7 linked regions of the Cricetulus griseus genome follow. The protein of the gene in region 7 purifies or fractionates together with the protein of the main gene of each other region. This does not show direct contact. Links are inferred from orthologs where the notes say so. Each region holds a gene or a part of one and is shown on either strand. Other genes may lie near its edges.

The links.
Region 1: the proteins of Eif3h (region 7) and Eif4g1 purify together in Homo sapiens (affinity purification with mass spectrometry; 4 studies listed by BioGRID). This does not show direct contact. The link is inferred for Cricetulus griseus from reciprocal best matches to the Homo sapiens genes EIF3H and EIF4G1.
Region 2: the proteins of Eif3h (region 7) and Eif4b purify together in Homo sapiens (affinity purification with mass spectrometry; 3 studies listed by BioGRID and IntAct, with this or other methods). This does not show direct contact. The link is inferred for Cricetulus griseus from reciprocal best matches to the Homo sapiens genes EIF3H and EIF4B.
Region 3: the proteins of Eif3h (region 7) and Eif3b purify together in Homo sapiens (affinity purification with mass spectrometry; 10 studies listed by BioGRID and IntAct, counting the BioPlex papers as one, with this or other methods). This does not show direct contact. The link is inferred for Cricetulus griseus from reciprocal best matches to the Homo sapiens genes EIF3H and EIF3B.
Region 4: the proteins of Eif3h (region 7) and Eif3d purify together in Homo sapiens (affinity purification with mass spectrometry; 10 studies listed by BioGRID and IntAct, counting the BioPlex papers as one, with this or other methods). This does not show direct contact. The link is inferred for Cricetulus griseus from reciprocal best matches to the Homo sapiens genes EIF3H and EIF3D.
Region 5: the proteins of Eif3h (region 7) and Eif3j purify together in Homo sapiens (affinity purification with mass spectrometry; 3 studies listed by BioGRID and IntAct, with this or other methods). This does not show direct contact. The link is inferred for Cricetulus griseus from reciprocal best matches to the Homo sapiens genes EIF3H and EIF3J.
Region 6: the proteins of Eif3h (region 7) and Eif3g purify together in Homo sapiens (affinity purification with mass spectrometry; 8 studies listed by BioGRID and IntAct, counting the BioPlex papers as one, with this or other methods). This does not show direct contact. The link is inferred for Cricetulus griseus from reciprocal best matches to the Homo sapiens genes EIF3H and EIF3G.

The regions. Positions count from the first base shown.
Region 1 is NC_048597.1:67,959,765-67,963,274, reverse strand, and holds the end of Eif4g1 (eukaryotic translation initiation factor 4 gamma 1), read left to right. Parts: intron 1-1,782; coding exon 1,783-1,967; 3' UTR 1,968-2,415; downstream 2,416-3,510.
Region 2 is NC_048595.1:398,493,376-398,496,700, reverse strand, and holds part of Eif4b (eukaryotic translation initiation factor 4B), read right to left. Parts: coding exon 3,167-3,325; coding exon of another isoform or gene 3,163-3,166; intron 2,646-3,162; coding exon 2,590-2,645; intron 1,247-2,589; coding exon 1,068-1,246; intron 722-1,067; coding exon 641-721; 3' UTR 1-640. UniProt on the Homo sapiens protein: Required for the binding of mRNA to ribosomes. Functions in close association with EIF4-F and EIF4-A. Binds near the 5'-terminal cap of mRNA in presence of EIF-4F and ATP.
Region 3 is NC_048597.1:77,071,060-77,074,190, forward strand, and holds the end of Eif3b (eukaryotic translation initiation factor 3 subunit B), read left to right. Parts: intron 1-354; coding exon 355-432; intron 433-793; coding exon 794-902; intron 903-1,019; coding exon 1,020-1,123; 3' UTR 1,124-1,136; intron 1,137-1,582; 3' UTR 1,583-2,049; downstream 2,050-3,131.
Region 4 is NC_048595.1:375,059,662-375,064,058, forward strand, and holds part of Eif3d (eukaryotic translation initiation factor 3 subunit D), read right to left. Parts: intron 3,859-4,397; coding exon 3,711-3,858; intron 3,054-3,710; coding exon 2,923-3,053; intron 2,417-2,922; coding exon 2,331-2,416; intron 2,212-2,330; coding exon 2,082-2,211; intron 312-2,081; coding exon 169-311; intron 36-168; coding exon 1-35. UniProt on the Homo sapiens protein: mRNA cap-binding component of the eukaryotic translation initiation factor 3 (eIF-3) complex, a complex required for several steps in the initiation of protein synthesis of a specialized repertoire of mRNAs.
Region 5 is NC_048599.1:56,409,841-56,414,802, forward strand, and holds the start of Eif3j (eukaryotic translation initiation factor 3 subunit J), read right to left. Parts: upstream 3,348-4,962; 5' UTR 3,238-3,347; coding exon 3,186-3,237; intron 3,104-3,185; coding exon 3,000-3,103; intron 1-2,999. UniProt on the Homo sapiens protein: Component of the eukaryotic translation initiation factor 3 (eIF-3) complex, which is required for several steps in the initiation of protein synthesis.
Region 6 is NC_048597.1:133,767,890-133,772,867, forward strand, and holds the start of Eif3g (eukaryotic translation initiation factor 3 subunit G), read right to left. Parts: upstream 3,181-4,978; 5' UTR 3,090-3,180; coding exon 3,070-3,089; intron 2,954-3,069; coding exon 2,907-2,953; intron 2,715-2,906; coding exon 2,631-2,714; intron 2,527-2,630; coding exon 2,438-2,526; intron 2,316-2,437; coding exon 2,256-2,315; intron 306-2,255; coding exon 201-305; intron 110-200; coding exon 1-109. UniProt on the Homo sapiens protein: RNA-binding component of the eukaryotic translation initiation factor 3 (eIF-3) complex, which is required for several steps in the initiation of protein synthesis.
Region 7 is NC_048603.1:3,299,975-3,304,371, reverse strand, and holds part of Eif3h (eukaryotic translation initiation factor 3 subunit H), read right to left. Parts: intron 2,057-4,397; coding exon 1,889-2,056; intron 413-1,888; coding exon 313-412; intron 1-312.

The sequences.
Region 1 (3,510 bases), on a different chromosome or scaffold from region 7:
AGAGTGAGTTAATTAAACCTTGAGGGTTGACATCCTGCAGGCTTTGTGCTTGGCCAGTAGGTGACAGCAACAAAAAATGATATCTTTCAGACATGATGTGCCCACTGAGTCTGGCACAAGGCTAAAATGCTTGGCTTACATTGCCTTATCTCATAGCCATTGTGGGTTTATCTCCTTTTTTCACACTGTAAGACTGAGGTTTACAAATTGAGCACATGGGTATGTTCAAGTGTTAGTTAGGTAACCGTAGTAAGGAAGCAGACCACAGTTGTGGGCTGGCCTGTAGTCAGGGGCTGAGGGAGTGTTGGAAGGTTAGTCTGAGGGGTGGTAGGGAGGAATTAGTTGACTGACAGATGGAACAGGCAGGCCGAGTGGGGTGAGGAAATCAAAGTGTGAAGTAGTGTGTGTGTGTGTGTGTGTGTGTGTGTGTGTGTGTGTGTGTGTGTTGGGGGCGGGGCGTGGGGATAGGTACTTCAGGCCGTATAAGTAGCACCAGGGCTTTGTAAGCAAAGAATTTGAGCTGAAAATGGTGCCTCACCCTGTGATCCTCTATTGCACCAAATGCTCACCTACGCTGAATCAGGCCTTGTTTTATCAAATCCCTACTCTAACCCCCAGCTGGTCATGGTGACACAAGACAGCCAGGGCTGCATACATCAAAACAAAACAAAAACAACCAAAACAGTACTTGAAGCATAAGTTCCTTTAAAATGTTGTCAATTAGCTGTTTATTTGCCTTTTACAGTAAGGGAAGACTGAGGCTTCTTGCTTTGAAAGGTCCTGCTGGAACTATCACTTTCTCCAAAATGTTTTCACAAGAAGATAATGGGATTGACTCCAGAGGAATAGAGCAGTGGGGAAGTAGAGACACAGAAAGGGCTCTATGAACAAAAGAAAGAATTTGGTATAGGGAAGTGGTAGATAAGCAATTAGGACAGATGGTTGACTGAGACAAATTATATAAAAATCTTGTTTAGCTATAGGATAGTTGAAAGATGGCTTTTATGTTTAATTTGGACAAGTGGGTTAAATACGTGTGTGTGTGTGTGTGTGTGTGTGTGTGTGTGTGTGTGTGTGTGTGTGTGTGTGTGTGTGTATATAGCACTCCGAGGAACTCCGACAGAGTGTAGCACTCTAGAAGCCAGAGATGGTTCAAGTGTTTGTCAGGATCTGTGCCTGTTGTCTCCAATCCTGGACTCAGGGTTGAACTCAGATGTCTGGTTTCCAACTGTTTTCTGAGATGTAATCTTAAGTAGTCTGGCTGGCCTCGAATTAATTTAGGCACTTGGCCTTACCATTTGAACCTCTTGCCTCTATATTCCAAGATTACAGTTGTGAACCACCATGCCTGACATTGTTCATTTCATCTCTCTCCTTTGATTCTACTTGTGATGTTCCCATTTCCCCTTATCAACCTTGAGACATGGTGTCACTGTGTAGAACTAGCTGGCCTAGAATAGTCTATTGCAGACTGGGCTAGCATCAACCAGAGAAATCTGCTCACCTCTGACTTCTGAGTGCTGGGATTAAAGATGTGCACCACCACACCTGGCCTCATTTTTTCCCTTTTCATATAGTTTTGCTAAATAACCAGAACTGCCTGTTTCTGAAGATTGCTAATGGCCAAGTAATGAATTCTTAGGCTAGTAGTCTCTGTCATGAGATTAGCATTCTGTCAGAAGCCTGGCCAGTATAGTAGGGCAGGGCGTAGTTTTACAGTCTCTCTGGGAGGGACCTCTGGCTACAGACTGGTCACCTAATTGATGTCTTTGTGGCTTGCAGACCTGCTTCGGATGTTCTTTGATGCCCTGTATGATGAGGACGTCGTGAAGGAAGACGCTTTCTACAGCTGGGAAAGCAGCAAGGACCCTGCTGAGCAGCAGGGCAAGGGTGTGGCCCTTAAATCTGTCACAGCCTTCTTCAATTGGCTTCGAGAGGCTGAGGAGGAGGAGTCTGATCACAACTGATGGCGGGTGGGGCCGGGGACTTGGAGCCATGGACACGTGGATGGCCCAGCCAGCCAGCTGCCTGGACTGCAGGGGGGCGGCGGTGGCAGTGGCGGCAGTGGCAGTGGGTGCCTGTAGTGCGATGTGTCTGAGCTAATAAAGTGGCTGATGAGGCAGGATGGCTTGGGGCTGCCTGGGGCCCCCCCTCCAGGATGCTGCCAAGTGTCCCTCTCCTCCCCCCGGGGCACAGAGATATATATAAAGTCTTGAAATTTGGTGTGTCTTTGCGGGGGGAGGGGCACTACCGCCTGCCTCTAGGGTCCTTTTTTATTTTCTGAAATCACTCTTGGGACTGCCGTCCTCGCTGCTGGGGGCATATGCCCCAGCCCCTGCACCACCCCTGCTGCTGCCTGGGCAGGGGAAAGGGGGGGGCACGGTGCCTGTAATTATTAAACATGAATTCAATTAAGTCATTGCCTCTTTACTGATCTGCTCCGTTGGAAGAGTATGGGTAGGTGGGCATGGTCCTCTCCAGACTTGGCACTGTATCAGTGTTGGTACCTGCCTCTTTCCCAGTCAGTGATTGGGGGTGGGGGACCCAGGGAATTGGTTTTCTGGAGGGTTGGGTTTTCTGGTTTGACATACGGGAAATTGGTGCTATAGAGTACTTTTGCGCCTACCAGATTAATCCAGGCCCTGGGTTTGAGGCCCTTAGAACTATAGAAGCTCTAAAGGGGGCGTCCTGTGTAAAATGACCCGTGTGGCCTACCGGCTTCTCCCTTCGGTGTGGCACCGCAGTGGAGATACAGGCTGTTTCAAGACCTAGACTGTTACTGAGTGGCTGTGACGTAGACTTGCCCCGCCTGTTCTGGATGGGCACAGCCCCGGGCTTACGTCACCGGCCCTATTCCCCTCTCCCGGGAGCGGCAGCAGACGCGTTGCTCCCACCCCCTCCCCTTCTCACAGGCTGTCCCCTCCCCGGTGGTGACCGCGGCCCGACCCTCAGCAAGACGATGGCCCGGGTCCCAAACACGGGCTAGCGTGCCTAGGTGCCCTGCCATGGGCTGTATTGGCTCTCGGCGCCCAGCCGGTCAGGGTAAGAGGCGGAGGCCGGAGCATGGACAGGGAATCGGGCTACACAGCTACCCGGTGGGGCCGTGGGTGGAAGGGGCAGTGAGGAGGGGGCTGGTATAAGGAGAGGGAGGAGCCTGCGCCCGGGAGGCGGGTCGGGCCAGATGAGCGAACGGGAGGGGGCTAACCGACTCTGGCTTGTTTCTGTGGCCTGCCTTCCGCTGGGTTTTTCCGTGGTATACTCACCTTCCGTCTGTATTCCTGCTGCTGAGGGTGGCTGCAGGAGCGCACACAGCCTGGGATCCGCTGGGCAACCTGCGGCCTCCACCTTCCTGGCTCCTGGCAACTAGTCTTTTGTATCTACATACTCCTCTCTGCCTACACCTACCTCTCATCTCACTGTCTTAGGAGTGGCTCTTTGCTGTGAAGCTGCCTCTCCCCGCTGGGTGCTGTCCTCCTCAGGAGTCAGCCTGTAAATACTGGCCAAGAACTC
Region 2 (3,325 bases), on a different chromosome or scaffold from region 7:
CTGTAGACTCACTCCCAACTACCCCCTTGGGGGGTAAAAAATTAAAATTAAAAAACAAAACAAAACAAAAAAAAAAAACCCAAAACACAACTCCCCTAGGCTGGCCCCAGCTAAGTCTGAATTGAAGTAGAAGGGCTGGCAGCCTCCTGGAGACTAAAATAACTTGAGAGACTAGATCTACCTGGCCAACGGTGGGAAATGTACTCAGATGATGTTTGGGAATTTGTAGGTGCCACCACAGGACAACAATTAAAAGGTAGAACTCTCACTCTTCCTTGTACCTTTCTCTACTGCCTAACTGATGCAACCGAGTCTCACTGTCACTACATTTCTGCTGAATGGAGCCCCAGGCACTAGTCACAAAGGTAACCACTTCTATCATCAGAACACATCACAACTTCCCCATTCAAAAGTGATAGCCACATCTCTCTGGCTACAATGGTGATTCTCCAGTTACTTCAATACTTTAAAAGGCTGCAGCAGCATGCAAAACAATTTCATTTCATTAAAAAAAAAAAAAAAAAGTTAAGAAAGGTCTTCAGGAGATGGTGAGCTTTATTTTTTCTTGTCTGGATAGAGGTTTGATTTGCTCTTGAATCTTCCGGGGTGGAGACTAGAAGAAAGCACAGCATGTGGAGGTCTACTCAGCGTGGTCATCTCCCTCATTCTCATCTTCACCATCCACAGAGAGAGCAGCATACTTGCTTGCAGAACTGAACTTCTATAATAGATGAGAGGGACAAAGTAATAAAGTCTGAGATTTTCCTAGAAGCAGAAGTTAATGCTTTGGCATAGGGGACATGAATTCATCTAGGGGTAGCATGTTCCACCGAAGCAATCAGGGAGGGCCAGGGTCACAAGTCAGCTCACCAGCAATACACATCCTTTCCACTTTGCAAGTGTGTAAGAGCTCAGAAGGGTTGACTCATCAACAAAAAGCCCATCTTAGCTTTTCTCATTAACTTGAAAAAAACACCACTGCCTCATTTCCAACTTCTCCAGTCTCAAGAAAAAAGGAGTCTGCAAAACTGAGCTATGAGAAGTGGATGCAAGCACACAACACTTACAGAGGCTGGGTTCTCCTCAGATTTCTTTGGCTCAGGTGCAGATCTGGAGTCTTGATCTTTTTTGCCATCTTTCCTGTCCAACCCCTTCCAGTGGTCTTTGTTTGCTCCATCTCCAGGGCCACGACTTGGGAACCCAGTTTGGCCTTTTGGGACATTTACCCCATCTATTTTATTTTCATCTGTTTAAGCAGAAACACAAAAACCAAATTCAAGTCACATAAAGTAACCTATTTCCTTGTACTAGATTTTCTTTTAAGCCGAAGAAAACATGTACTAAGGGAAATTAACTCCATTCCAGGCCTTTCTTCCCAAGTTCCTATACCACCCAGGCATACCAAACAAGACATATTAAAAAGTCTCACTGTAGTAAATGTCACCCGGAAAAGCAATATAGAAATAAAGACCAGAAGCCAGGTGGTGGTAGTAGTGCAGGCCTTTAATCCCAGCACTGGTTAGACAGAGATAGGCAGATCTCTCAGTTTGATGCCAGCATGGTCTTTGGAGTAAGTTATAGGACAGCCAGGGCTACACAGATAAACTCTTATCTCAAAAAACAAAAACCCCAAACAAACAGCAAACCCCTCTTCCAGGAAAGAAAGAGAAAAAGGGACTAGATTGTTCTGTAGTGACCTTGGCTGGTTAATGGTGACATTTCTCACCTGGACAGACATAGTTATTCCTGTCCAATTTCCCCACCAAGGCAAGGTTTACCAGGAAAGCCAGCTTCTGACACTCTTTGAAGAGCCCATTCCTGCCCTCTATTGGCAAGGAAAGGTAGCTCATCAAAAGAACATCACAAAACAGGGCATAAAAGTTCAAATTTCTTGACTGAAGGTTGACAGGGGGAGGGAAGACATTTTGAATAGTGTGGCCACTGGTAAGGTGCCAGAACTTTTGTAATCCTCAATAAAGCCCACTAGGCAACTCCCCCACAAAAGTCATAAAAGTAGAATAGAGGCTAGCTGGGGAAGAGGGATTGGCAGGAAGGAGACAAGAGAAGCTAACAGGGCAGCAGTAATGATAGGATTAAAATACATCATATACATGCATGAACTTGTTGTCTTCATGAGACACAAATACTGCAGCTTTCAGCAAAAAAAAAATAATAATAATAATATTTTTTTCTTTTTTTCTTGCTCATGCCTTTAATCCCAGCACTTTGAGGCAGAAGCAGGTACATCTCTGAGAGTTTGAGACCAGCTTGGTCTACAGAATGAGTTCCAGTTCCAAGATTACATACCTTTATCTTGAAAATCAAAAACAAATTTATTTGGTCAAGGTGTTTAATTCAGGAATTTTTTTAAGAGTTGTTTTTATTTTATGAGTATTGCCTGCATATTTGTGCCCCACCTATGTCTGGTGCTTGTGGAGGGCAAAGAGGCATCAAATGCCTTAAAGAAACTGGAGATATGAATGGTTGTGAGCCACCATATATGCTGGTGCTGGGAACTGATTTTGTAGCTCTTGGATGTGTTTGTATCCAAGGCTTTACACAGATCAAAACCTACTTCCCTTGGCTCACCTTTTCTTGATGGTCCGTCCTCAGAGGGCTGAGCTGGAGCTACTTTCCCTCCACCACTAGAATGGAGCAAGCAATCAACCATCAGTTTTTACAAGAAAGACAACACAAGCTTATACCATTTCCAGAATGCAGTGGGTTGCCTTTATAGAAATACACAAGAGCCTGCATGTTGAACACTGCAATATTTAAGTATAGGAAAAGACAATGAAAGCAGTCACTTCCACACTCAACTGCCATATGCTTTGGAATTTATAACCCAGCAAGGCAATAGTAGTTTTCTCTTTGCAAAAACTGAGAAAAGTTAAGAGAATCTTAAGTCACTTAAATGATATGACCCTCCAAGGTTACACTAACAGTATATCTCAGGACAAAACCCAATAGACATGTCTACAATTTCTGTGGTATAAATGCGCCCATCATAGCTGATTTCAACCCATCAAAACGATGCCAACTGGCTAACAAAAATGAAAAAAACACACTGCTATGAGACACCTCAGTATGAATTATACATACTACAAAGGCCAAGACCCCTCAGGGCACCTTCCAGCTAAGCAGCTGCTGTTGCAGGCCTACTCACCTTGTAGGGGACTGCTGCTCTGTGTCTGAGCTCTGAGATCGAGCAGGAGGGTTAGAGCTTCGCTTCACCCACGCATTCTCCTTTGGCGGAGGGGCTGGCATTACCTTTAGAGGCTGATCAGGTTTAGAAGGTTTGGAGGTTGGAGAGTGACAGTCTTCT
Region 3 (3,131 bases), on a different chromosome or scaffold from region 7:
CCAGACTCTGCTGTATAGCAAAAAGATAACCCTATCCTTCTTGTCTGTTCCCCACTCCCCAGAAAACCCAGGAGTCTGCCTAAGCCAGACAGGCTGTAAACAAGTCCCAGTGGGATTGGAAGAACTAGGAGGTGTTAGGTAATGGGATAGAGTTGTGATATTAAGTAAGATCTGGGAGTGACTCACCCTAGGAATCTTTCCATGAAATGAGACGCCCCAGCTGGGCATGCTGGTCCCCTGGGGCTGAATCCTCTTAGACCTGGAGGCTCTCAGTGTACACTGGCATCTTTGAAGGCAGCAGTTAATGGTGCTTGCTTTGAAGGTTTAATCCTGAGAGACTTGTCTTGATTTCAGCAAATTAAGAAGGATCTGAAGAAATACTCTAAGATCTTCGAGCAGAAGGATCGCTTGAGCCAGTCCAAAGCTTCAAAGGTGAGCCCCAGGGGATGCTCACGGGAGCCTGGGCCTGGGCACTAGTGAGAAGGGTGTGCCAGGAGCCTGGTCTGGCTTGTTCTTCCATATGAGAGGGGGCAGCTAACAGTGGGGAACAGAGGGCCAGCACTGGTCCTTGGAACCAACACCCACTAACACTGGGTAGAGGCTGGCTTTTTCTTATAGAAGCAGGAGGGGATAGAATCAAAAAGAGAAGTGAGGGAGGTTTTATGGAAGGTGTGTCCAACAAGGCTCTGCTTGTCATCTTCCAAACTTCAATAATGGTCGCTGGACACAGTGGGGGTCGCTATGAATGAGCAAATATGTCTTGCTCAGCCCTACAACCTTCCCCACCTGATAGGAACTGGTGGAAAGAAGGCGGACCATGATGGAGGACTTCCGGCAATACCGAAAAATGGCCCAGGAACTCTACATGAAGCAGAAGAACGAGCGTCTAGAACTGCGGGGAGGTAATCAAGCTTCCAGGCTTGTCTTCAATAAGAGTGGTCCCTGAGGGTGTGGACTAGAGCCCTGTAGCCGGCATTGCAGCCACGTCCCAGGGGTTAGCCTGCTCTCTGTCTTCTTAGGGGTGGACACTGATGAGCTGGACAGCAATGTGGATGACTGGGAAGAGGAGACCATCGAGTTTTTTGTCACTGAGGAGATCATTCCTCTCGGAAGTCAGGAGTGACTTCAACACTGTGGTAAGACTTGTGAACGTGAAGACAGGAATGGGTGCCTACTTAGTCAATGGCTGCTTGTTAGACCACAACATAGAAGACAACCCCAGCAAGATGGTAGTGCCACCACTGGTGGTTGATAGGGAGCTTGGAAAGAAGCAGAGGCTGGCATGAGGCATCACTGGTGGTTGATAGAAAGCTTGAAAAGAAGCGGAGGCTGGCATGAGGGCAGTGCTGCAGGAAGGAGGATCAGGTACAACACTGTGTCATCCAGTGTTGGTAGTACAGGAGTGAATGTGTGTGGTGCTGGGTTCTCTCAGGAACTGTGAGAGCTGAGCGTCAGGGTAATGTGGGTGCAATTGACATGCAGGCCAGCTCTTGGCTAGAGGAACTACCTCTCATGCCAGGAGTGTGGTCAGTGAATAATCCTTTGCATTGTGGCTAACTAAATGGTGGCTCATCTATTGCAGTGTTACTGTGCCGTGCCCAGGATCCGAGGCCACCCTTCACAGAGAGCCTCAGGCTGGGTTCTCATCTGTGCTTTTTTGCTCTGGACTTCGAGTACACCCGGGGTTCTTCCATCCCGACACAGCTCTGTGCCTTCAGCCCCTGGGTCCACAGTGGGGACACTCGAGGCTCCTCTCTCATTTGACCTGTTTGGGTTTTTATGCCATGTCTGCTGTGGGGCCTCATTGCAGCGCTCTTGGTGGCTCCTTTCACTCCTGCTGCCCGTGGTGTTTCCAGAGACTCCACCTGCAGCTCAGTGGGGTCCCTATTCATGGACTGGCTGTCCCTGGAGACCTTCAGGGGAACTGCACGCCCACCACTTACTTGTGCCAGTAGCTCTGGAGGCACCCAGCACCTCACACCTGTTCAGGCTGTGGCGGGGCCCTCTGCGCAGGTTGGATGTGGAAATAAAAGCAACCCTGTGTGAAAATGCTGTCTTGTTCTTCTTTGCCATTTGCAGTGGCTGGCCTTGAGGCCTGCCCATTCCCTCTCCCTAGGGTGAGAATGTTTGCACACTTGCTCCTGGCTTGTTGAACCTGTCTGAAATCTAGCCAGGAGCCTAGTGTACCACATCCCAGATGTAATGTATTCCATCTGTTTCTGTGAGAAAATGCTCATCTCACCCCACAGAACCCTTAGGTTTTCCAGAATTGGGCAGGTTGGAAAACAGGTACAGAGGGGAGCAGCCACTTAGACACCTAGTGTCCAATAGAGAAGACAGCAAACTTGTGTAGCTGGGCTCCACAATTGGTGAGCTGTGGCCATGCTCTATGCAACCTGCCTCTTGCAGGCTCCCTTCTGGCTCTGCATCTCTTGTGACCAGAGAGCTACCCCAGGCTGGGCCTGCAGAGCATGTACTATACCAGCAGAGGACAAAGATCAGTGCTTTGACTGTGTCACCTGTCCTGGTTCTTAGGTTCTTTATTCCTTTGTGTTCTCTTGAGGTTCCATCGTGGTTGCAGTCCCCTTCAGCACTTTTACCCCACAGTATTGGCCACTTGATGTTCTTTAAAAGTCTTTTTCCAGCTGGAGAGATGGCTCAGAGGTTAAGAGCACTGAGTTCCAGAATTGAACTCAGAGGTCCTGAGTTCAATTCCCAGCAACCACATGGTGGCTCACAACCATCCGCTATGAGACCTGGTGCCCTCTTCTGATGTGTGGATATACATGGAAGTAGAATGTTGTATACATAATAAATAAAATCTTTAAAAAAATACATTTTTCCAGTTTCACAGCTATGAGAAGAAAAAGGCACGCACACATTTAAGCACATTTGCAGGTTTTTTGTTTTTCTTTCTTTTTTTGGAGACAGTTTCACTGTGTAATAGCCTTGGCTGTCTAGGAACTAGCTGTATAAACCAGACTGGCCTGGAACTAAAAGACATCTGCCTGCCCCCCATTTCCTGGGTGCTGGGATTAAAGCTGTGCACTACTACTGCCCAGTGTACATTCAAAGGTTTCAAATAACTGCTAAACTTTTCATTATTTGAAAATTGATTGTGATTGTTTTCT
Region 4 (4,397 bases), on a different chromosome or scaffold from region 7:
GTGAGGAGTCCTTTACGTGGTACCGGGACACATATCTGTGGGGGAAGAGGATGGGTGGTCATACTGGGCAGTATAGAGATGGCAATGCCTGGTTTGCTGCTTTTCCCAAAGGAAAGGAGGCAAGCAGCCTTTGCCCCGGGCCTGCCCCAGCACCGGCAGAAGTCTCACCCGAGCTTCAAGTACTCAGATCCGGCTAGCAAAGCACAGCAGGTCCACCGCGCTAACTTGTAGCTGTTGTTCTTCAGCTCAGTGGCGATGACAGCTCCACGCTGAGAGTCTAACTTCTGTCTCCAGTCAACGCCATTACAATGCTGCAGAAGGAAAGATGGTTACTGGGTGAGAGGCACCTGCCACAAGGCCCCAGGGCCTCTTCTGAAGACAGGAGCCCACTAGGAAGTGAAAAGTATGCCTGAGTCAGACGTAGACCAATTATCATGTAAGAGACAAAGACACGACCATCGCTGTACATATCCACCCAACCTGCGGGTAACGGAGAAGGCAAAACTCAATGACAAGGGTGCTGTGTGGTGCAACGGGGCTTTACATCGTGCCATGGTGAACATATGGAGAAGGAAGTTTGGGATCTGAGGGGCAGGTGGGTGAGACTCAGGTGGGGTTGAGGGCAGGAGCCCAGCACCTGATGCTTCCTATGCATAGACTTCCAGATGTGGGGAATGGGGCAGTCCAAGGTCACAGGGCAGGGAGGTTCCCACAAGAGATTAGTATCTGACAGATTCTATTTCCCTTAAAACTTGAAAATATGCTGTAGCCCCTAGAGAGTGCCATGACATTGAAGAACCCTGCCAGCATCCTGGGGACAATCACAGGCAGAGATGAATTGAACAGAGTATACGGAAGTCAGACAGAAGTCAAATGCCAGGCACAAGGACAAAGAGTGCCCCAGCAGACTCCCAAATGGAGAAAGGAGCACCTGAGTGCTGACAAGGAACAGGGACCACAGCTGTACCATTGCAAGGAACTGACTTCTCAACTCACAGCAGACATTCTTCTGGAACCCACTCAGTTCTAGGGACATAGTCACTGCCACCCACAATACCTCAACAGAGAATGAAACTATCTGCCCACCATTATAGGTGCTGTTTTAGGTCATAAGTTTCTTTTCATGTGTTTTTGAAGTACAAGGTACTCTGGGACAAGAGCTGCTTGGGGATTTACCCCAAGGCTCCAACCTCACTTGTGAGTAGGGTAGCGGTGTGTGATTTCAGAACTGCACAAATATGAGGAAAGACAGATGCTACAGTAGAAGTCTGGGAGAAGGCCACTGGCCCCACCAGAGGATGGATTTCTGAGCCACATTTTGATGGCAAGCTAACCATCTCAGGCTGGCTGGGCCCCAGAATTGTCCTTGTCAGTATTCTTTATCCTGTACAGAGGCAATGGCCCTGCCCTTAACTTCAACAGAGTGCCACACATAAAGCAAGGGAGAAAGAATGACACCTGACCTGATTATCCTGGTGGACTGCCCACAGCTGTACAATGGAAAGAGGAGAGCGTGTGTATACTCATGTTTTGCCCAGCTCTTAGAGCATAGGCTCTCAACCTCCCTAATGCTGCTGCTCCCTCTAATATTCATGTTGTGGTGGCCCCCAACAACAAAATTATTTCACTGCTACTTCATAACTGTAATTTCGCTGTTATGAATTATAATGTAGATATCTGATGCAACCCTCCAAAGGGGTCACAACCCATAGGTTGAGAACCGCTATCTTAAGTCTTTTGAGGTTAGTAGTGGCAGAGCTGGACAAAGGGATCACAAGGTGGCAGTGAGGCTGAGCATATACAGAAAGACGTCAGAGAGAGTGACTGGGCTTTCCAAGACAAGATGAGATCAAGACCAGATGTGTAGAGTGCTGGAGCCAATGGGTGCCCAGAATGAATAGACAAAGGCGCCAAAAGCAGAAACCCCTTAACTTGACTGTTCTCTGTCAGCAGGGACTTATGTGGATAAAGAAACTGCAGCCCCCATCCACGTTGGCTCTGTGAGCACTTAAAGGTTGGTCACCTCACTCCAGCCAATCCCACTACACACAACAGGGAAGACAGCTGCAATGGTGCCTCACCCTGGAGTCCCACTCATTGAGTGTTTTGATGTTGATGAAGGACACTTCCCCAGTGGCTCCAGTCATGACGCCATCATGTTCACAGCGGACGATAAGGTCAATGTCATCTCCAAGTTTCCACCTGCGGTAACTACAAGGAAAGCAAGATTCTTTCTCTGTAACATCTGCTGCTTTAGATGGACCATTCCAGACAGCACAGGACAGGGTCTGTGCTCCAATCTGGGCACACCCCCATCACAGCTGACATACCGGTAAGCAACAGAGGCGATCTCATTCTTATCCATGTCATCCTCCACAAATGGGTTTGGGTTGGGGAAATTATATCTTTCTCTCCCCTGCAGAAGTGACAAAGCTTTCAGGAGATGGTGTTGATGTCAAGTCAGCAGACCCAGCACTGCTTTATGTCCTTGAGGATCTGGGCTTACTTGTGCGAAGGACTAAACCCAACACATCCCACTGAATGCCCCTCCCTGTTTCCTTCTTCACCACAGACAGACAGCTAACCTAACAGGGCAGTAATGGCCTTCATACTTCCTCCTTCATCACAGTGAAAAGTGGACAATTTGTTCAATATCATATCCTCAAGGCAAAAAATGGCATTTGAGCCAAAGGCATTTCCACAGCTCATCTGTGTGAGACAAGTATTAATATTGTAACTTTACAGAGAGGAAATATGTCCAAGCACACAGACCTGTCAGTGGCTTGGATCCTCTGCCACCAGGAGAGGCCGTTCCTGGCCAACACCACACCACAGTCTAGTGCAAAGCAGAGGCTCAGCAGCAGCCCCCTAAATCACCCAAATCAGCAAGTCGGTGTTCCCCACCCGCTCCTGTGTGCTCACCATTCTCAGGCACTGCTGGGAGAAGTTGTGGTTGATGTAGGTGGCCTCCATGGCCAGGTTGCGGGGTGAGTTGAAGGAATTGCCTTCATCTTGAGGGGGCTCATTGGCTGTCTCACTCACAGTCAGGAGGTCTATAAAAGCCCAAGCATGGATGGTCAGCTGCTCACATTGCCAAGAGCCACTGGCAGTGTGCAAAGCAGCATGGGGAGATGTAGAGACCCAGACTATAGGGTGCCATCTCCAAAGAACTGTATTCTGCTAATAGGGTCTCTCCCCAGAGTATGTGTGGCATGTGTGGGTAGAGTGTGTGCCTCTTGCATGACCTTCCATTTGACCTACCACCACCAATCACACAGTAAGAAGCCATTCCTTCTAGATTCCTCAAGAGAACGCATCTGTTGGCATTTTAACAAATGAGGCTCACAACTCAAACACAATCAGATGGCTTTGTTTTCATACTGTCAGTTTGCAAGTGATTCATTAATGGTGTGTATATACATGTGTCATAAAATACACGCATATATTTTTCTTTATAGTATATGAATGCAGAAGCAAAAAACAAAAAACCAAAACAAAAGGCCAGGAAAGTTTTGTGCAAGTGAACAACACACAGCCACAGTGGTGGTGTGAGGACTCAGAGCCGAAGCCCACGGAAGCACTGAAGTGGTCTCTTCCCTTGGACTCCAGGAGGATGGGAGGGATTGACACATGACCCATTCTCAGGACCAAGCAATATTCAAGACCAATAATACCAGTGCCCCGAGCTGCTCCCCAGTCAGGCTACTTACCGAAGTCAGAGTTGTCCCTCTTGTCAAAGAAGAGTTTAGACCCGACTCTCTGCACTACAATGTCCCAGGAGTACACAGAGCGTGTGCAGCTCATCAGTGTGGCTAGGATGGCATCAGTGGCAAACACATTGCCCTGCGTTTTTGCCAGCTGCAAGGAGGCAGAGAGGGAGAGAGAAAGTGAAGTGAGGATGCTGAGGTCACCAGGGAGGGAAAAGACTTCCCCAGTCACCCAAGAAGGCTGAAGCAAACTGGCTGGCATGGCTGCTCCGTCACTGTTGTGGAAGCATACACCACACTCAGCTCACTAGTTTCTAGTTTCTGTCTTTGCAGGTGAGAAAGCTAAAACTCTAGTGCGATACGGTCTGCCTGGCAAAGCTGGGGTCTGAGCATGCTTTGGCTTACCACATTTATATCCACCCAGCAACAAGTCTCCGCTTCCATCAAATTCTAAGTCTGATCCAGAATAATTTTATCTAAGGGCTGGACTATGTACACAGTCAGCTGTTTCTGTGAAGTCTTCACCAGTCAATTCACCAAATGTTCAGGAGAACAAAAAAGACCATGTCTAATCAACATGCACATGCTCTTTCTGTCAAGTTCCCCAAACAACAGAATAACAACTGCTTATGTCTTAGGCGTCCTGAGCAATCCAGAAAGATCTGAAACATGGAAGATTGCCAGGACTGA
Region 5 (4,962 bases), on a different chromosome or scaffold from region 7:
AGGAATTTCTCTGGCCACTAGTTCTCACCTTTTTACTGGGAAAAATCCTATCTTTTTCCTTCATGAATATTAAGAGGTCTATAGCTTTACTAAGTCCATTTTTTCAACTGAAAGGTCTGAAAAGGTAAAATGCTGTCTACTGAAAAGGATAGTCAATTAGGGCAAGTAACTAAAAAAGATACTTCAAGTAGCATTAAACTGGTCATTTACAAGGCAAAGCACTTGATCCTGACATAAAATGAATATTTTCTATAGTTTGGGGATAGAACTCTCACTCAGTTGCCCAAGTTGGTCTTCAAGTACAGGATTCAAGTGATTCTCCCCCAACTTCCCCAAAGTGTTGAAACTATAGGCACTTACCATCATACTCAACTCGGGTATTTTTTTTTTTTAAATTCACATACTAATTTGTTTAAGGATTATGATTATTTTGTTTAATGAAAATTTAGCCTTGTTTGCATACCCCTACAAAAAAAGATTAAATGCTAAAACATCAAAATTCAGAAGCTAGTACTATGACTCAACTGCCATGTAAGGTGACAAAATTCAATTTTAACAAACCTCCAAATATGTAAATCAAAAAACAAACTCCACAAAATTCATAGTAAATATATACTATAGAAAATACTTATCTTTCTGGCCTTAGGAAATGAGGCACAAAATAAACCTCAGATACTAGATCTTAGCAGCCTAAATATGTCCATAGGATAAAAAAAAGAAAACATCACTGAAAACTATATTTACTGATTATCTACAAGTGCTAGGTGGCCCTGCTTAATGCTCACTTAAAATACAAAGTTACTCTCATGGTGGCACACTTCTTTTAAACCCAGCACTCAGGATGTTGAGCTAGGCAGATTTCTGTGAGGCTCAATGCTAGCCTGGTCTACATAGTGAGATCTAGGCCATACAGTGTTACACAGTGAGACCCTGTCTCAAAACCAAACAAGCAAAAAACAACAAAGTAACTCTGAATTGCAGGTCTCATTACAACCATTTACATAATGAGACAGTATAACTTGCTTATGGCCACAAATCTAGAAAATGCTAAGGTAACATTATAATCAGTATCATTTTAAAACCCAGGAGTCAAACTATTCTTATACTGTATCATGAGAATGGAAATAAAACATTTCAACTTGAGTCTTGAACCCTTGGACCCATATGACCCCCCTTTGTTTTTCTTTTTGGTTTTTCAAGACAGGGCTTCTCTGTGTTACTTTGGAGTTGTCCTGGAACTCTGTAGACCAGGCTGGCCTTGAACTCACCTAGATCTGCCTGCCTCAGCTTCCTGAGTGCTGGGATTAAAGGCGTGGGCCACCAACGCCCAGCCTCATGACTCTTTCACCGGAGGCCAGTATCAGCTATCCGGCATTTTACATTATGATGCATAACTAACAAAATTACAGTTATGAAGTAGCAACAAAAAAAATTTTATGGGTAGGAGGTCACCATAACATGAGGGCATGTTAAACACAACATGTTAAAGGGTCAGGTTAAAGCATTAGGGATGTTGAGAACCACTGTGAGTGATGAGAATTATTAACATCACGATAATACCATTTAGATTCCATAATCCCAGGTAGATACTACATCATTACAGACAACTTTTAACAATTTTCTGGAACTTATTCCCAATTCCACTTATTTACCCCAGCCCCCTATTTTGTTTTGGACTAACTTCCACTCCTTTTTTATACTTCTTTAACTTTATGTCTTAACTTCCACTTCCTATGAAGAGTGAAAAATCAAAACTGAAAATCTGCTGTCGTGTGTTAAGAAGGTTGGTAACAAATCATCCCCAAGTGTAGTGTACACAATAGGTAAACAAAACATGTAAGTAGCTACTCAACAATACTATTAGTCATTATTAACTTCAATGTATGAAAAACTCACTTCATTCCTCAAATTCAGGCTGTCTGGTAAAGTGGACACACACTTCAACAAACTTCAGAAAAAGACAATCCAAAGAGTACTATTAAATTCACAATGATTACTTAGCTCAAAAATTTGACCACCAGGAGGATTTACAAGGTACTAGATTAATCCAAGGAAGAAAAAATTTTTCATTCCATACAAAACTTTATCTGCACAAATATAACAAGACTTGAAAACTTCACTAGTACAATCATGGAGCTTAGACTTGTAACTTTTTTTTTTTAATGAACACAGAAGATAATGACTTCCAAAGCTGTAGGATGAGCCCATGGGAGTTTTCTAAAACAATAAAGATGAATCGGATTCGAACTTACAAGACAAACAAAACCACTGGTCTACTTCAACTACCAAATCTTTGGTATTTTTCTAGGCCTGGACCTGTGTAGATGAGTGACTATTACCTTTCCATTTTTCACTGCTCACACTTCTGTCCTAGGTTTCCGTCCACTAACCTGCCGGTTAACTCGGTGCTCAGTTCATCCTTCTTACCACAGGGTGGGGGAAGGGAGACCTAAAAGCTGTTTGTTTTAGTGACCAATTCTAGTTTAGAAAAACTAAGATTTTCTGCTCATCCAACCGCTGGAACCAGCCACCGACCCTCAGGATCATACTTAAGTTACTGATCTGGGAGACCCAAACTAGGAAAGGCAGGCGGGTCTCCCTACTTTCCATATGGGACAGACACTGAAGCCGAGTTTCCAATCTGGTCGGCTCGTTGCCATGAGAGGTTCTGGCCTGCGAAGCTTGCACGTGGGCCGACCCGACTGCTGGCTGTCACTTCTAGTCGCCAGTTAGGATCCAGGCCGGGGAGCCGACCCTCGGTGAAGGGCTGGGACACGGGCTGCCACCATCCTCGGCAGAGTCCGGCGGGACGCGCCACCGCCTGCTGCCCACATGGCCGGCCAGCCAAGGGAACCGGGGCACGGCTGGGCCGCCGCTCACGCGGGACCCACGGCCCGCAGGCCCGGGCGGCGCCCTGGGGCCCCGAGTCCGCCCGCCGCCGCCCGCCCCCCGCCCAGGCGGCGCCTGCCGAGCTACCTGGCGCCCCCGGCCGCACCTACCTTCACGTCCTCGTCCTCGTCCTCGCCTTCCCAGCGGTCCCCGCCGGCCGTGCCGCCGCCCGCGACCTTCCGCATCGGGTCCTCCATAGAGAACGTGTCCGCGTCTACGGAAGAGAGCGAGTCGCGTTAGTACACGCGTGGGAGCGAGGCCGTCACGGCCCGCACTCGGGCCGGAACTGTGCTCACCCCAGGAGTCCGAGTCCCCCGCCGCCGCCGCCGCCGCTGCCGCCGCCGCCATCTCGAGTCGCGGGTGAGCGTGTGTGAAGGGAAGAGCTGCGAAGAGTTAGCGCGGCAGAGGTGAGTCACTGGGATGGCTCTCGTTGGCCCGCGCGGGGCAGGCTGGGACCGTGGCTGACTGGGCGCCCGGCCCAGGCTCCACCCCTTCGGGCGACGCGCGCGGCGGGCGGGGCAGGGCGGGGCGACGCTGGGCTAGGGGACGCCGACCCCAGCCAGGGCCCCTCCCAGGAAGGAAAAGGGAGTGCGCAGGCGTGGGTAGGGCGGTGCTCGCCTGGGGGCCGCTGATCATCTACTGGGAACGGGCGGTCGTGCCCGGTGGATACGGCGGACGGGGCGGTCCTCCCGCAGCCTTCATGCAGGCGGGCCTGGAGGTCGAAGTCGACCCCAGTCGCTCCGAGTTTTCCCTTCCCGTGAGCCCCTCTGAGGCCGGTACGGCGATTCTTTGGCGAAAACATTTAAGAATTCCGTGGTCTGTGCCAGGCGTGTGCTCTAGTTTGCCCTCAGCCCGGTAGCAAAATAGTTATGTAAACAGATTTCGACACAGTGCGATGGCTGCAACAAAAAGTAGCATTATGAGGTTAGATGTAAAAAGGTAGCATTAACGGCGGCGGAGGCTGCAGTTCCCTGTCTGCGGTAGGCTGCCTGCGGTAGACACTGGTGAAGTTGGAGTTTGAGAAACCAAGTGACTTGTGCTCCGGTGCATTTCTGGTTGAGAGAAGGCTTGTGGTCCTCACCTGACTGCAAACGAACAGGTAAACTGATGATAAAGAACCTAAAAGAAGCAGAATTTTTTCCTTTGACACTGGGCTTCCCTGTAAGGATGTTAAGGGACGAGCCAGTTTAGGTATTTGGTTAATTAAATAAATAATTAAATGTATTTTCCAACATAGTTACAGTTTTTAAACTCTTAAAAAGACAGTAATCAGCCATTCTCTTATTTCCGTTTCTTGTGTATTTTTGGTCTAAAAACAAACATTTAATAAGATGGTGTTTCAAGAAGTGTACTACAGCATCATTAAATTGTGAGGCGACGACAATCTATAAAGAAAGCATCTATTTGTAAAGGTGGATTGAAAGTAAGCAAGAGAGACAGTAGCAAAAAGCTGGACTATACATCCCTGAGGACACAATCATTCACAATTTTTATCTTCAACATTTCGAAAAGTACATTAATTAATTTGCTGTGCCAGGAATAAAACCAAGATCTTCTGCAAGCCTTGCACTACCACTGAGCTATGCAACCCCCAACTTCAGTGAATTAATTCAACGAGAATTCAAGTCTAAATTAAGCTAGTGACAATGGAGAGGAAGGAACCAGTCTTTAAAATATTTGAAGATGAAAGGCAATAGAACTTAGTAATTGGAGTGATTAATTTTATTTGTTTATTTTTGGTTTTTTGAGACAGGGTTTCACTGTAGCTTTGGAGGCTGTCCTGAAATTCACTCTGTAGACCAGGCTGGTCTTGAATTCACAGAGATCTGCCTGCCTCTGCCTCTTAGTGCTGGAATTAAAGGCCTGTGCCACCACTGCCCGGCGAGTGATTAATTTTATGTATCGCTTGACTAGTCTGTGATACCCGTTACCTAGTTTTTAGTCAAACACCAGTCTAGTTGCTGCGACTCTGTTAGATATGATTAACAAGCCAATAAGCTGAGTACAGCAAATAAAGCTCTGTAACACATGTGGATCCAGCCAGTGAGTCCACATACAGACAGGACCCTGAGG
Region 6 (4,978 bases), on a different chromosome or scaffold from region 7:
TGTAAGGGCAGCGGGTGGTCCAATGGTCGCCCTTGCAAATGCGGCAGGACACAATCTTCTGGCCCTTGAGCTTGTTCATTGGGTCTTCCTCCTCCTGGCAGTTTAGGTCCTAGTGGGGAATAGGGAAGAGTGGCTCAGAGCCGGCCGCTGTCCACCCCACCCCCACTGCACTTCTGGGTCTCCAGCTTCACCCTGCTCACCTCTTTGCTAGTGATGAATGTCATGGAGACATCATCGCTGACTGTGGTGGTGGCCACATTGGGCCCCGGTGGGTCAAACTCAGAGTAGCCAAACTTCTTCCAATTCTGGGTTCCCAGAAGAATAGGGAAAAATGGGGACAAAGGCAGTAAGATAGCAGAGTGGGGTACCCCAGACAGACAACCCCGTCAGAGCCTTAAATCCTACATTCTCGTGTCCCCAGAGGCCTCCCATGTGATAATGGTGACAATTCTCATTTCCTAAGCTAGGCTTGGTGGAATGTAACTGTTACCCTGACACTTAAAGGTGGAAACAGAAGATTCCGAGCTCAAGGTCACCCTGAGATACACAAGTTCAAAACCAGCCTGAGCTCTGCTGTATGAGGCCAAAACAAAGGAGTGGGGGAGAAGGGGGGAGGGTGTTGGTGAGGTGGTTCCGTGTGTAAAACCGGTTATTGTACATGAAAGAACCCAAAACTCTCATATAGAAAGTATGAGCCAGGTGGTAGCGGCACACATTTTTAATCCCAGCACTTGGGAGGCAGAGGCAGGCAGATCTATGTGAGTTCAAGGTCAGCCTGGTCTCCAGAGCCAGTGCCAAGACAGCCTCCATAGCTACACAGAGAAACCCTGTCTTGAAAAACAAAAAACAAACAAACCAAAGAGTTAAATATAGCCCAGGGGCAGGGGACCCTATCTAAAGAGAATAAGTTGTAAAGTGACATGACAGAGCAAGTCACCCAATCTCCTCCTCTAGTCTGAGTGTGAATATACAGCCATTCATGACCCCGAGACACACCCACACACCTACCCCCCCCCACACACACCCCATAAGGAGAGAAGCAAAAAAAAAACTCCAGGAAACAGCAAGGAGACTCAGAGTAGAATGGCACACAACTGTGCCACTGAAGTTTCTAGGCAGGTGCAGGGCGGGCTCCCACCAGGGAGGAAGCTGGAGGATGTCCAAGAGTCACTCAGATCACAGGAACCTTAAGCTAGTTAAATGGGACCACAAAGCTCCCTGCCTCCCTAGCCTGATCTAGAGGTTGGGAAGCCATGTCTTGCTAAATGCCTGGCATGGAGCCTTGCTCTCAATGTGTTGATGTCCTTCCTCCAGAAGCCCTTGCCCCTTGCTCAGTAGAGGCTGCTTGTTCCTTCAAGTAGACAGAGCAAAGGAGTAAGAATCTAAGTCAGGACCCAGGAGGCTAGGCAGAAGCATTTAGAATCTGAATACTACACAGCAAGAGCCTCTCAAAAATAACAACAAATGGGGCTGGAGAGATGGCTCAGAGGTTAAGAGCACTGAGTGCTCTTCCAGAGATCTGAGTTCAATTCCCAGGAACCACATAGTGGCTCACAACCATCTGTAATGAGATTTGGTTCCCTCTTCTGACATGCAGGCAGAACACTGTATACATAATAAACAAATAAATCAATCTTTAAAAATAAATAAATTAAGGCTGGGCGTTGGTAGCATACGCCTTTAATCCCAGCACTCAGGAGGCAGAGGCAGGCGGATCTCTGAGTTTGAGGCCAGCCTGGTCTCCAGAGCGAGTGCCAGGATAGGCTCCAAAGCTACACAGAGAAACCCTGTCTCGAAAAACCAAAAAATAAATAAAAATAACAACAAAACAAAAAACTCAAGAGGATGGATATGTCCCAGTTAGCAAATTATTTGTCACAAAAGTACCCATCAAAGTCCAATCCCAAGCACCCACAATGAAAAGCTGGGCACAGAAGCATGTGATTGTTATCTCCAAAGGTAGAGACAACAGGCTCACTGGGGATAGGTGGCCAGCTAGTCAAATCTAATTCCTGATGACAAAAGCCCATCTCAATGCAAGAGGAATTTGCTGGAGGAATGACACTGTACACAGGAGCACACAAAAGGGGGGAAAAAAATCTAACCTCAACTACTCCTGGACCCTGAATTTCCAGGGCCTGACACTAAATTTTTAATTCTACATCAACAGGAAAGGACTTCCCAACTCCTCTGGGCCAGTCCTGGAGACCCCTCCGCATACACACACCAAAGTGAGTCAGATGGGAGGGCCTCACCTTCCTCCTGGCCACAGCCTTCGATGCCTTCCGGGTCTCAATCCTGAAGGTCCTGACAATCTGAAGATGGAAAGGGAGAAAGGACTTCCAGAACCTCAAGGCCTTCCTTCCTCACCAATCCAAACCAACACTCACAGCCCTCATCGCCAATCCAAGCGCCCCCGCGGCCACCTCGGCCTCACCTTGAACTTCTTGCCATCTTCATCTACCTTGTACTCGGTCACAGTCTTTACGTTCCCGTTGATGACTTCCTTGGGAGGTGGCAGTGGCTCTGTGGGAAGACAACAGGAACTGAGTCCTGGATAACGGGGACTTGCTGGGAACGGGCTCGAGGGCCGGAAGGGGGAGGGGACGGCAGGGCTGGACGGGGCTCACCTCCGGGCAGTAGCTCCGGCTCTGGACTGGTGTCCCCGGTGGGCAGAGGGATTCCCTTCAGGAGCTCGCTGGTGACACACTTGTCTGTCAGAGGCAATGCGGGGGCGGCGGGGGGGACGGAAAGTGAAACACACGGCTGGGACGTCCAGGCCAAGGTGTGGGTGGGTTTGGGGACTCCGGGGGCTCGGCCCGCCCCGGGACAGGGCGCGGAGGGCCGCGCACAGGCACTCACACGCACGCACTCACGCACTCACTCACACGCACACGCGCACTCACCGTCCTCGCCCTCCTCTTCCACCTGGTCGGCCCAGCTGGGCTTCGAGCTGCGGAGACACGAGAAGGGTGAGCGGGTCCCGACCCCCGCGCCGCCCGGATCACCACACACCCAGCGCTGCCCCACACCGCCTCTCTGGAGAGCCCGCCACCGCCCCGTCCTCACTCAAAGTCGCCCGTCGGCATCGCGAAGTCTAGCTCCACGCAGCTCCCAGCCCGGGTAGAGAGCGGAAGCCCGGGGAGAACGAGGCTTCCGGTGCCGCCCCTGCAGCCTAGAGCGGCCAGACCGCGGCGAGCACAGCGCCTCCCTATGGACGAAGGCGGACACGCGACTCTCGTGTGCAGCGAAGTACGGGGACCCAAGCTGGAAGGAGGTCCCAGAGAGACCGTCCAGAACTTCTTAAACTCTCCGCACCCACTTAATTTATTGTTTTTTTGGGGGGGAGTGATGGGATTAGAAGTCACTGTATCACTCTGTAGCTAGGATAACCAGCAATTCCCGACAATCCTCCTGCCTCAACCTCCGAAGGGCTGAAATTATAGGCATGAGCACCACGCACTGATGTACCGAAGGCTGGGTTTGCACTCATAGCAATCTCCCCAGTTTATTCTCTTGTGGACTGAGCCCAGGTCTTCAGGCTTGGCAGTCAGCCTTCTTAGCTGCAAAGACATCTTGCAAGTTCTACCGGTGTCATCTTTTTTTTTTCCTCCGTTTTTTATTTGAATTAGAAACAACATTGTCAACAAAACAAAACAAAAATAAAAAACACCAAAAAAGGCCGGGCGTTGGTGACACACGCCTTTAATCCCAGCACTCGGAAGGCAGAGGCACAGATCTCTGAGTTCGAGGTCAGCCTGGTCTCCAGAGCGAATGCCAGGACAGGCTCCAAAGCTACACAGAGAAACCCTGTCTCGAACCCCCCCCCAAAAAAAAGGAAGAAAGCAACAACATTGTTTTACATGTTAATCCCAGTTCCCTCTCCCTCCCCTCCTCCTCTGCCTCCCTCCCCCAAGTAACACCCTACCTATCCCATGCCCTTTCTGCTCCCCAGGGAGGGTGAGGCCTTCCATAGGGGGGGGTCATCAGTTTGTCATATCCTTTGGGATAGGACGTAGGCCCTCCCCCGTGTGTCTAGGCTCAGGGAATATTCCTCTATGTGAAATGGGTTCCTACCAGTGTCATCTTAAACTATTTCCCATACTAAGCTTTTCTCCTTCCTCAGAGCTACACCCCCTAGAACTCTGGTATAATCTTCCTTTACTTGATTCTCAGCCTCTGGGAACATGCATTCCAAGAAGTTCTTTCTTAGTTTGGGTTGCTAGTGCAGATGGAAAGCACACGCTGGGCGCACTTGTGATGACCTATATTTCCAGCACGTAGAATTTGTATTATGGAGCCGTGTGTGTGTGTGTGTGTGTGTGTGTGTGTGTGTGTGTGTATGCGCGCGCGCGCGCGTGCGTGTGCAGGAGTGCATACCTTTAATCCCAGCACTTGTGGAGGCAGAGACAGGTGGGTCTCTGAGTTTGAGACCAACCTGGTCTACAAAGTAAGTGCATGACAGCCAGGGCTACAGAGAAACCCTGTCTTGAAAAACAAAACCAACCAAACAAAAACAAAACAAAAAATTTACTAGAGAAATGCAAAATCCAGACAAATGGCCTTTGCTTTGTTTTTGTTTTTGTTTTGTTTTTTCAAGACAAGGTTTCTCTGTGTAGCTTTGGAGACTCTCCTGGAGCTTGCTCTGTAGACCAGGCTGGCCTCAAATTCACAGAGATCTGCCTGCCTCTGCCTCACTAGTGCTGGGATTAGGGACATAAGCCACCATCACCTGTCTACAAATGGGAAAATTCTAAAAACAAAATTTAAGTGGACAGCATTGACTCAGTGGTTAAAGGCACTGGCTGCACTTCCAGCAGACCTGGGTTCCATTCTCAGCACCCAAATGGCAGCTCACAACTGTCCATAGCTCTAGTCCCAGGGATCCAATGACCTCATCCACAGGTGCCAGGCATGCACGTGGTGCACAAACACAGATACAGGCAAAACACCCACCCACATACAGTAATAATAAACT
Region 7 (4,397 bases):
CAGCTTGCAATCTGATGGTGGCTAAGCACTCTCTCTTCTCACACCCTTTATCCTACCACTTTTAAAGGGCTTCAAATACGGTGGGTAATTAGTTCCCACTAACTGCAGTCACCGTAAAAAAACAGCAGATGAGATTTTCCATACAGAATCATTCAAACACGGAGAGGGAGAAAGCCAGTGGCACTTGTACACGCAGAAGCGTTTTCATCCACACGCCAGTGGCATTACCATAGCCCAGCACGTGGCTAACGGAAATCCTAAAGCAATCACACGAGTCCTTTACAACGTGCCTCATGGGCACGGAACACTTACGCTTCGGGGGAAAAATCCTTCTCTTTACAAACTTCCATCAGTTTAGGAGTCAGTCTGTATGCCTTCAGTGAGAGAGAACCTTGGGCAGTTTTTATGGGATCTCAAAAAAGAAAAAGAGAAAGATATCACTGAGAATATTGTCACTACTAGTTCTCATACAGTACTAGTTCTGGGCACACTGTTACTTATCATACAAGCTTTGAAATATGAAGACCAAAAGAAATAATCAGGACATCATTTGAAGCTGACTAAAACCAGCATAGCTTCCTCCTTAAAACAAAAACTAAGAGCCAAAATCTAGGTGGGATACCTTCAAATCCATCCCTCAATGAGAACCAGTCAACTTGGTGAAAATTAAATATGTGATAATGTCCTATAGATCTTGCATAGATAGGAGAAAATATTCATGAATATTAAACATAGAAAATCTCTGTGTATACTTCTCCAGCCCTTCAGTCAATAAACTGAAAACAAATAGCCCTGGGAACAAAGCGTATCATCCCAGTGAGTGCTGTCCACGGTTCTTCACTAAAGCAGATGTAAAAACAAAACCACTCCGTCCAAGTGCTATCACAACTTGTCTTTTCAGTCTGAGAAACAAAGTTTGTCAAAACTGACTGCTTGAACGAACACTCGGCAAGGAAGGGAGCTTAGCGCTTGCTGCATGATAACGGCTCTGGTGTGCCAACGCTTGCCTAAAACCTGTGTTAGCATTCATGTCGTCTGAAATTCAACACAGTCAAACTTTTAGCAATAGGTGATAAAATGAAAACCAAAATAGATTGAAGCAAGTGGAAAATTCATCAAGGTCTGATGATGCAATGTTTCCAGCCAATATAAGTGCACTTTAACAACTTGTTCTCTCTGTAATCCAATTGCTAACACACTGAAACAATTTCAGGGCAGCTCATAAGATTGATCGTATTCATTAGTATTTTTTCTGACAGATACTCAGGACGTTACATTTACTTCTCAGCTGGAAACTATATGCAAGTCTGCCAGATATGGCAAACTGTGAGTGTTTGGGAAGGGGGAGGCTATAAAGCTGTTAAATTGCCTACGGTTCTGATATAGCACAGAACATCTGGTCTGGAGAGCTTGAGGAAACACCATTAAATAGGCCGAAAAGAAAAAAATCTTTGTGCTAAGAAACAGTCCAGGTTTTGTACACTGCTGTCAGAGGTATAAAAAAAGAAAAAAAAAAAGGAAAACTTGGCAAGCTGCATTATGATTGGTCAGTCACGTACAGAACCAGACACGCCAGCAATCGGGGTTTGTTAGACATCTGGTCTTATTCCACCAGCCCCTGCAAGGAAGGAGGGAGATGAGAAAAAAAATGAAGCAGCTACTCCAGCATTCCAAAACGTACACATCAGGGCTCTGATAGCAAGAAAAATAAACAGAAAGAAGGAAACCCTGTCTAGACGGAGCTGCTGCTGAGGCTGCTGCAGAACGGGGCTGATATTTACTTGAGAAGGCCTGCCAGGGCTTCTCCGTGAGGCAGAAAGACAGAAAGCAAAAATAGCAGTAATAATATTACGGGAGGAAAAGAATAATAAAGGAGCCTCCTACTAACCGTAAATGAGAACGACGGACTCTTCAATGGCGTGCTGGTAACTAAATTGAGAATCCAGAAGCGCCCGGGTCACGAACGAGCCGTAGTACGTGGACTGATACCAGCCCACGTGCAGGTGGTCGATGTTGACATGGCGCAGGCTTCGCATCATCTCCATCTGATACTGGACTAGAGATGCAAGGGGGGGGGGGGGTTAGAGAAGAAAAAAACAAATAAACACACAAAAAAAACCAAGCATTCAAAGATACCACTAACATTGAAAATAAACCTTTCTTCATTTACACAGAAAGAGAACAAAGTTTTCAAATCATTCTTTCCCTTTTTAACAAAATCACGTTTTGTACAAAAGGTATTCGAAACACCTAGTTAATGAATGTCCTGCTCTACTCCTCTTTTCAAAAGCTCTAGAAACCATGAGTGCATGAGGAAAGGTGTACAACTATCAGACTGCAGCCACTCCAGCTGGATTAATAGTGAGACCGTCACCACTGTCTCCTTCGCAAGCGGCCATCAAGAAAACCCCACCGCTCACATAGGAACCAGGCACAGGCTACACAGCTGCTTCAACGTAAGAACTCACTTTTGCCTTCATCTAGTGCCCCCTGCTGCATCTACTTGTCTTCTCTTTGCGTTCATTTGTGCTAACAGATGATTTTTTATTAGACAGGTTGTATTTTAATCACCATACAATGAAAAGGTCTGATGATGTTTCCTTCTGCTGAATTAATGACACTCTCTCTCTCTCTCTCTCTCTCTCTCTCTCTCTCTCTCTCTCTCTCTCTCTCTCTCTATTTCATTTAAGGCAGTATTAACTAGAAAGAGGGACATATTCATAAAAATAAATGGCATTACGAAGCAATATAGAGCTGGAGAAATGGCTCAGAGGTTAAGAGAAGTGAGTGTAGCCTTCAGCATAGACGTCAGACAGCTCTCAAGAGCCTTTACCTCCGCCTCTGGGGAGGACTAGATGCCCGCATCTCGGCTGTGGATGTACACACACACACACATAAACACACACAAACACACATAAACACACAAAAACACACACACACACAAACACACACACACGCACACACACACACGCACACACACACACACACACACACACACACGCACACACACACATAAACACACACACACACACACACACACGCACACAAACACACACACACACGCACACACATAAACACACACACACACACACACACACACACACACACATAAAAATAAATCTTTTAAAATAAGCATTACAGGTTAACAATGCACACCAAAGGTAAAATAAAGGGGAAAGTTTTACAGTCAACAAGCTATTTCTGTAATAAAGAATGAACACATGGCTGCTTAGGATAGCCATAACTGCTTCACCTTGAACCTGCCAACTTTACTTTTAAAACTTGATGAAGTTTTGCCAAAAATTTTATTACTGCTATTCCCCTGGTCATAGCACTATCGTTTCAAAAAGCAAACAAGACTCATATCACAATGTTTTTCAACATCTGACATTAGGCAAAGAAATCAATTTTACGTCAGGAGTAGAGGATGACTGAAAAACTGCAGAAAAGGCCCAAACAGAGTGCTCCAATCTACCACTATGTGGCAGGAAGGACCGCACTGCAATTCCACAGTCACCTGAGCGAGCGGATGGATGCAGACAACTCTCTTCCACGGGAGCTTATTCACTCATTAGCCTCTGGCTGTATTGCTTCTTTCGTTCTTTCTTTCTTTCTTTATTTTTTTAAAGAGTATGGTGGAGGAGCTGGAGAAATGGCTCAACAGTTTAGAGCACTTGTTACTCCCACACAGGACCTGTGTTTAGCTGCCAACACAACATTGACAACTCCAGCTCCATGAGTCTTCTACCCCTGTGGGCACCAGGCATGCAAGCGTGCATATGCATGTATACACTCAAAACACCCACATACAGCAAAAAGGGCAAAGGGTGTCACAAAGCAGGGGACACTAAGATGCTACACGCTTTTATAAAGAATATGTGAAAACAAAGCCCTATAAACCATGTTACATCCTAAACTACAGTTAAGAACACCTCAACGAGGCTGGAAGCATAGCTAGCTCAGCAGTAGCTCATGGAAAGTTCAATACCTACCTACTCAAGCTAAAAAGAAAACAATAAATCAGCGAGCCACAATCAAATCAATAATCTTATATCAAGTATTCTTGTCTTGGTACCATCTCTTTCTGTGATGGAAGAGACACCCTACAATCCCCCTCCTTTCGGCAAACTTAACGGATTCTCCGAGACAACCCAAATCATTCCTTTGGTCTCTAGCTACGATACTCTTAAGTTAACTTATCTGACGAATTTTAACCAAATTTAACTTACAAATAAATGTCTTAATACTCTTAGTAAAATGGGAGCTAAAATGAAATTCGTTAGATTGTTTTACAACAACGAAAGTGAAAGAGGAATGGAGGAATTATCAAACAATCGACAGGACAAATACCATTAAAAAACAAACACCAGTACTTGGAAAACTTGTGTCAGTGAGTG